2 linked regions of the Canis lupus familiaris genome follow. The protein of the gene in region 1 purifies or fractionates together with the protein of each later gene. This does not show direct contact. Links are inferred from orthologs where the notes say so. Each region holds a gene or a part of one and is shown in the gene's direction. Other genes may lie near its edges.

The links. The genes of interacting proteins can lie anywhere in the genome.
Region 2: the proteins of HSF1 (region 1) and HNRNPA2B1 purify together in Homo sapiens (affinity purification with mass spectrometry; 3 studies listed by BioGRID, with this or other methods). This does not show direct contact. The link is inferred for Canis lupus familiaris from reciprocal best matches to the Homo sapiens genes HSF1 and HNRNPA2B1.

The regions. Positions count from the first base shown.
Region 1 is NC_049234.1:38,476,866-38,480,901, forward strand, and holds the start of HSF1 (heat shock factor protein 1), read left to right. Parts: upstream 1-1,220; 5' UTR 1,221-1,347; coding exon 1,348-1,464; intron 1,465-4,036. UniProt on the Homo sapiens protein: Functions as a stress-inducible and DNA-binding transcription factor that plays a central role in the transcriptional activation of the heat shock response (HSR), leading to the expression of a large class of molecular chaperones, heat shock proteins (HSPs), that protect cells from cellular insult damage.
Region 2 is NC_049235.1:39,597,793-39,601,742, reverse strand, and holds the start of HNRNPA2B1 (heterogeneous nuclear ribonucleoproteins A2/B1), read left to right. Parts: upstream 1-1,134; 5' UTR 1,135-1,369; coding exon 1,370-1,375; intron 1,376-3,950. UniProt on the Homo sapiens protein: Heterogeneous nuclear ribonucleoprotein (hnRNP) that associates with nascent pre-mRNAs, packaging them into hnRNP particles.

The DNA.
Region 1 (4,036 bases):
CTGTCACTCCTCAACAGTCCACAGCTCTCACCCAGGGAGGCAGCCTGGAACCGCGTTAGAAGTCTTTCCTAGAACAGCTTTCACAGAAACGACTCTGATTTCAGCTCAATCACACTGCGCATCTCTGATACTTAGCTACACAACTACAACAGCAAATAAAAGCACAACAGACCATGCGGGGAGGAAGCCACCCCGTGTGGCAGAGTCACCTGGGCACGGAGCCACCTGCCACAGGCGGCACCCGAGGGAGGGGGACCCCTGGGGGAGGGGGACACCCGGGGAGGGGGGCCCCAGGGGGAGGGGGACATCAGGGGGAGGGGGACACCTGGGGGAAGGACACCTGGGGGAGGGGGGACATCGGGGGAGGGGACACCCGGGGACACCAGGGGACGGGGTACACCAGGGGGCGGGGAGACACCCGGGAGAGGGACGCCCAGGGGGAGAGACACCCAGGGGACACTGGGGGAGAGGGACACCCGGGGGACACTGGGGGGAGGGGGACGCCCGGGGGAGGGACTACCCGGGGTACACTGAGGGAGGGGGACGCGGCGCGGAGCCGCACGTGCTCCCGGGACTCTGGACCCGGACGGACTGACAGCCCCCGCAGGCCACGCGTCCAGCGCCGGGAGCCCGGCCTCCACGGCGCCCTACGCGTACGGAACACGGCTGACGCGCTGCAGCGCCTCAATACGTCGACCCCCCGGAGGCCGCCCGCCCCCCGCCCCACCGCCGCGGACGCGCAGGACCCGGAGCCCTTCTTCCTCCCGATCCCGGGCCCGCCGCGCGCCGTGGGCCGACTCGCCACCACGTGCGGCCCCGGGCCCCGCCGCCCGAGCCCCGCCGCCCGGGCCCGCTCCCGCGTCACCTCCTCTGGCTCCGGCGCCGCCTCGGGCCCCCCCGGCCGCTTCCCGGGTCGAGCCCCCGTCGCCGCCGCCGCACCGCCCGCGCCCCGAGCGCCCGCCATGCTGCCCAGCCGGTCACGACCCGCACCGCCACTTCCGGCAGCGCGGGCCGCGTGGGGCTGGGGGCGGGGTCTGCGGGGGCGAGGGGCGGGGCCGGCCCCTCCCCTCCCGGCCTGACGGTGGGGCGGGGCCAGCACGCGCAGGCGCGCGGCGGTCGGAGACGGGGCGGGGCCGGCGTGCGCGCGCCAGGGTGACGCGAACGGGCGGCGCCGGCGGGAGCGCGCGCGTCGCAAGATGGCGGCGGCCATGCTAGGCCGCGGGGCCGTGTGTGCGCAGCGGGCGGCGGCGGCGGCGCTGCCCCGGCGACAGGCGCGGCGGCGGCGCTAGCCCGGCCCTCGGTCCCGTTTCGCGGTCGTCACTTCTGCCTCTCCCCGCCTTGCCCGGCATGGATCTGCCCGTGGGCCCCGGCGCGGCGGGGCCCAGCAACGTCCCGGCCTTCCTGACCAAGCTGTGGACCCTCGTGAGCGACCCGGACACCGACGCGCTTATCTGCTGGAGCCCGGTGAGGGGCCGGGGCGAGTACCCAGAGGGTGGGTGTGGGGCGGGGCCGGGGCCTGCGCTCGCTGTCGGCCGCTCCGCGCGCCGAGGGCCGCCGGCGGGGAGGGAGGCCTCTCAGGTCCTTCGCTCCCCGTCGGACCGTCGCGGAAGTGGGTCTGCCCGGAGAACAGAGCCCGGCCTCGCAGGCCACCGCCGTGCCCAGGGGACCCTCTCCGTTTTCTCAGATGAGTTCCAGGGCGGGATGGCCGGCGGCTCTTCGGAGAAAATTAGGACGCGGTGCGTGGACTGGAGGTCGTCGCTCTGGTGCGAAAGGGAGAGCCACGAAAACAGAAAGTAAAACGTCACAAAGTTCAGGTTGATCTCGAACCCATAGCCAGAGATACTGGAGCTGGGTCTCCCCGGAGCAGCTTTGTTTTTCATTCCTCATAGGGCGTCTTTATTCAGGTCCCTGTCTTCAGTTGCCTGGCAGCGGGCTTGTTTACAGGGTTTGGCCCTGCAAGACCGGACAGCTCCGGTTTTGCGGAGGTAAATTGGAGAGTGTGTCTGGAGTTGAAGATCAGAATCTGCTGTTCCCAGCCTGGCTGTGATGTCGTGTCCCGGGGAGGCCAGAGCCATACCCCGGGGCCGGCAAACGGGTGACCCCGAGAGAGGCCACACTGGTCACGCAGAGCCTCTGGGTGCCTCCAAATATGCTTGACCCCTCGAGGGCCAACATGCTGGGTTTCTGACTTTACTAAGCACTTCCCTTTCGTGCTCTGAAGCCATTAGGAATGAAGAAGTGTTCAGGTCGAAGCTAAGTCTTGGCTTGTCTGTTTGCCCGAGCTCTGCTCTGCCTAAAGATTGTCTGGGAATAGGGGATCCCTGGGTGGCTCAGCAGTTTGACATCTGCCTTCAGCCCAGGGCGTGACCCCGGGGTCCTGGGATCGAATCCCTTGTCGGGCTCCCTGCTTGGAGCCTGCTTCTCCCTCTGCCTCTGCCTCTGCCTTTCTCTCTCTCTGTGTCTCTCTTGAGTGAATAAACAAAATCTTAAAAAAAAAAAAGAAAAAAAGAGAGAGACGGGAAATAAAGAGACTAGGTATTATGCCATGTTCTTATTGGAGACACTGTTTCAGTGATACGCGTGTGGGCACTCTCCATTCCCCAGTGCACTACCTGTTTCCTACCTGATGAGAGGCAGCACCCTGAAGTGGGGAAGCATGCCATCCCCTCTTTCCAGACTTCGGATTTTTCTAACCAAAGGAAGTGACCACACATTTGTATCTTCCTTTATCTTCCTTCTTCCTCTTTTTCCTTCCTCTAACTTCAAGGAAACACTCTTAACCCAGATCCAGGAGGGGCATCAGAGATGCCCTGGGATAGTCCAAGCCTAATCCTACTATGGTGATTTATCCCACCTTCTAGGGTGCCCTTTAATCTGCTTGCTTTTTCTGATTTTTTTTTTTAAGTTTTTTTTTAGAAGATTTTTTATTTATTCACGAGAGACACACACACAGAGAGAGAGATGCAGAGACACAGGCAGAGGGAGAAGCAGGCTCCATGCCGGGAGCCTGATGTGGGACTCGATCCCCGGTCTCCAGGATCACACCTTGAGCTGCAGGCGGTGCTAAACCGCTGCGCCACCAGGGCTGCCCGCTTTTTCTGATTAAAGATTGTGAGGCATGTGGGTGAAGCGTCCCCAGCTTTCTCTCCAGGACCCACAGCCCGTATCCTGGGCAAGGCCTTTGAACAGGAATGATCAGGCTTGTGACAGCCTTTGCTTACAGTGGCTGCCTATGTGGGTTTGTCGAGGGGCAGGGGGATGGGGAACCAGCCTGAGCATGAGTACGTGAACCTTCCTGGTCTGTATGCAGGTCAGGCAAGACGTAGTGGTAGGGGCTGGCACTCACAATGAATACAGAAGCCAGACAGTAGCTCAGCAGTGGAAGGAAGCCCTTTCCAGGCCGGGTGGGGGGCTGCCGAGCTGCCTGGCTCAGAGACAGGAGATGGTCTGTACCTGTGGCCTTGATCAAAAAAGTCCACACAGTGTCTTCTGCAGAATTTTGGCCCAGAGTGTGACTCTCAGAGGCCTTGGGAAGCTCTGATGTCCTTGGTTTTGGTGCCCCCCACCCCCACCCTTTGTTTTGAAAGTTTTCTCACAGTTCTACCAAGAGAAACTCACCATGTTTGACCCAGGGGACAACAGGCAGTCAAAGGTGTGGTGGCTGACTCTCCAGGCTGAGTACAGTGGGGGATGGGGTCTAGCCCCAGAAACCCTCGCCAGTGGGGCCAGGTTGGGACAGCACTGAGCTTCCTTTGCCAAGCATGACGGACAGACCACAGGTCACTGCCCCGTACAGTTGTGTTGACCTACTGTCAAATCCTCCTACAGTTAAAGACGCACTGAATATGGAGTCTGAGGTGGATAAACAAGGGTCTTTAGAGATGCAGCTGCCCCCCACCCCCAGGTCCTGCGACCCTGCAGCTCCTGCTGCTGCAGGGAGTGAACTTGGCCACCGGGAACACAGCCTAAGGGTGTGCCACAGCTCTCCTGACCTACAGCCTGTGCTTGTTCCCCTTGCCTCCCACCCCCACGGGGA
Region 2 (3,950 bases), on another chromosome or scaffold:
GCCACCGAGGGGACAGAGAGAGAAAGAAAGCCACCGACTTCACCGCCTCCGAGCTGCTCCGGGTCCCGGGTCTGCGGCGTCTCCGGCCCTGCGCGCCTCAAGCTCCAGCCACATCCGAGGGGGAGGGGGCTGGGGCGCTGCGCGACGGGCAGCCGCTGGAGGGAGGGGGGAGGGGAGGCGGTGGTGGCACCGCCCACGCCGGGCGGCCGCGAGGGGCGGGGCGGGGCGGGCGGGCGCGCGCGCCCGGCGGGGGGAGGGGCCGCGCGCCGCGCCCGCCGGGAACCCGAGCCCGGGGGCAGGTGGGAGGCGGCGGCGCGGCACTTACCGTTCGCGGCGTGGCGCCTGGTGGTCCCCGGAGGGGAGGGAGAGGGAAGCAGAGGCGAGGACGGTGGCCGATCTTCTAGACGGAGGCGTTTCTGTTTGGCAGCAGCAGCGCCTGGCGCCAAAACCGGGCTCCGCCCACTTCCTCGCCCCCAGAAGCGGGTGCCTCGGAACGCTAGGGGTGAGGGAGGGAAGACAAACTTGGCGGGGGCAGCCGGGAGCTGAGGGGAGAGGCCGCCTCGCGCCACCCTCTCCAGAGACCTCTCCCGAACCGAAGGGGTCTACTCCCCGGGACGTTGGCCAGGGTCAGCTCGGCGGAGCGTGAAGTACGACGTGTTGACTAGAAGTCGCTTCGGGTGTTTCCGGAAGGGGCCGAGTCAGTCCTGAGCGCGGGGGGCGGGGGGGGGGCGGTTAGGGGAGGAAAGTCCCCGGAGGGAGGCTACAAAGATTGTTCTGGCGGGAGACCCGGGGGCGGGGAGCGGCGCGGATTATCGGAGGCTTAACAGTAGGGACCACCCCCCGGGTTGAGGGGGGCAGGACTTTAGGGCCGTGCGTTAGGCTCCTCCCGGCAGCGTTAATTTCAAACTGCGCGACCGTTTCTCACCTGCTCTGCGCTAAGGCGGGGGCTGGCTCCAATTCCCTGAAAGAAAAATACGCAGCACTCGAGCCTTCCGCGATTCACGGAGGGCACTTGCGCAAGTGACGTCAAGCACCGCTACTGGCTGCCGGGGGGGAGGAGTACGTAGCTGGCGTAAGGAGGGCGTAGAGCGTTCCCGCCATTGGCGGCGGTTAGGGCGTTTACGCAACGGCCTGACGTAGGGGAAGACGCGTTAGTCGGGGGGAAGGTTCTAGAAAAGCGGCGGCAGCGGCACTAGCGGCAGTAGCAGCAGCGCCGGGTCCCGTGTGGAGGTGCTCTTAGCGGTGTTGTTTCTCGAGCAGCGGCAGTTCTCACTACAGCGCCAGGACGAGTCCGGTTCGTGTTCGTCCGCGGAGATCTCTCTCATCTCGCTCGGCTGCGGGAAATCGGGCTGAAGCGACTGAGTCCGCGATGGAGGTAACGGGTTTGAAATCAATGAGTTATTGAAAAGGGCATGGCGAGGCCGTTGGCGCCTCGGTGGAAGTCGGCCGCCCGCCTCCGCCGGAGAGCGGCGGTGAAATTGGGCCGCTTCCAAAGCGGTTCGCCTCAGGATGTTTTTGGAGAGGGTTCGCTGGCCGGGGCCTGATTGAACAGCGTCTTCCCCACCCTTAGCCTGCCGGCGCCATTTCCCTTTGCTGGGGGTGGGGGATGGGGAACTTCCACATGGCGGACGCAGCCCTTCTTCGGCGAAAAGTGGGGCGCGGAGGCGGGAATTCTGACTCCCTCTTGAAAGCACGCTGATTTGGGGGGCCCGGCCTCCCCGCGTTTTGAGCTTTTCGGCGGGCTTCGGCTCCTCCTGAGGGAGGCTGCGGAGCTTCCCCTCCCCCCCTCCCCTCTCCCGGGAACCGGATTTGGCGGCCGCCATTTTCATTCCATTCCTTCCTCGCAGCGTTTTTCTTTTCAACCTCTGGATTCTGCTACTTTGCTTCTTTTATCGAAGAATTAAAGTGGTTAACTATTTTTCTTTCTTTTCGGGCCACTTTCATGCCGTTTCGAGGTGGATTACGAGTGTTTTGTGAGCTTGGATCTTTAAAAGTCCTGCGCACCTCGTTAGAGGCTCTTTCCCTTCCCCTCGATGAAATGGCGCCATTGCGTTCAGAAGCCACACCGAAGAGCGGGCGGGTGGGGGAGTCGGTTCCCCGGGGCTGGTTCGCCCTGTTTAAGAGGAGGTAAAGCCACCCATGGTGTCGGGCCCAGTTTTAAGTCGAGCCGTACCACAAAGACAACATTTCGTCTTCCAACCCCTGTTTTTTGTTTTTTTTTTTTTTTTTTTCCTGAGTAACGGTTTTATCTGGGTCTGTGGTGGTTAAAAAGCTAGTTGAGTCACAGGAAACTTTAAAAATAAAAATTGGGAGCCATTAAGTGAGTACCGATTGTGGGTGGCCGTGGGGAAGGAGGTTTGGGGGAGGGTGTCGGTTTCACAATTTATTTTCCTGAAGGATTTCCTTTTGAATTGTAGGATTTATTTATGTTTTTAAATAGTACTTTTCCTGGGAAAATCTTTACTACCTAAGACTAGAGGTACTGGCGATAAGGTAGAAATGAAAGAGGAAAGTGAAAAATGATTTTTTTTTCCTTTAGTTTGGTTAAAACGTGGCTCAGTCCTTCGTTACGAGAAACGACTGGGCCACCATGTATTTGAACTTTGTCATTTGCTTTTCTCATCTATGTTTGCTATGATGGTTGATGATTACATTGATAAGAATAAGGTCTCGAGCGAACGGGGCCTGATTGGGTATTTTCTTTGACCTTAAGCACACTTATAAAATAACTTTGTTTGTAATCGATAGTGGACATCGGGTAAGTTTGGAAAAAAAATGAGGTAAGTAATGAATTTTGCCTTTTGTTAGTGATGTGTAAAAATTATTGTAAATGTGCAGCTTTTAAAAAATGCGTAATTTGGGTTGTAAAAGACCAAGTTACGCTAATTAAATAAGTTACTTTTAAGTACCAATGTCAGATAATCGTTTAACGGGCTATTTTTGAGTGTTTTAGGAGTTTGATAGGTTTTTTTGACCTTTAAAATTTTTCACGATTTTGGGAACTGTGCAGGGAAGTCTAATTGAATGCTTATCACGTTATTTTTTGAGCTGTTGGGGAAATTTTCATGCATAGAGGAAGAAATCACAACGGAGTTAGCTGTAATACTATTTGCTGATAATTATTTTCTGTTGTATGGAAAGTCATATTTGACCTCTGATTTGTATTATACACTCACTTAGTTGCTTCTAGACGTTATAATTTGTTGTGGTATCTGAATATTTAAAATTTTTAACCTAGGTATGTGAAAGTGTAGCAACCCATTTTTTCTTTTAATGACAGCTGAAAATATAGGGCTGTTGATGTATTTGCTTGGTGGTTTATAGGGCTTAAAATTTTTCAGCCCAGGTTTCCCACACACACACTTGTAAAATCAGAGACATTTGTGCTGTGTAGTTTGCCAGATGGCCTTTAAGGCCAGTACACCTGAGTTTTTGAGGGGGGAGTTTCTTCTTCAATGAAGTGTAAATTGTACAGAACTACTAAGTAGTTAGCAGTGAGCATTTAAAGTTTAACGGTTTTTGATTATAGCAAACATTTTACTGCATTTTATAGTTTAGTGTAATGATCTGTGTTCTGTAAATACCAAATCTAAGCGCCTACCAAAAAGCAGGTATGTTAAATTTTTAAAGCTCCAAATACCCACTGTTGGTCATAAAAACTTTTGTTCCATGGTCAGAAAAAAGGCAGATTTTATATAGATATTTTGGTATATACATTGATAAAAGTTTTCATCATGGAGAGAGTGGGGTATGAAGGGAAAGAATGGTTTTTCTTAGCGGTTTTTTTTTTTAATTGAGATACAATAGAATCACCGCCAGAGGGAGCAATAAAGGGAAAGTAAATGTCACTGTTAAGACACTGAATCCTGATATGGTAAATTACACGCTATAAGTAAAGCAACAGTTTTAATGTTAAACCGTATGTTTATAATGCGTATTTAAAAGCCAGT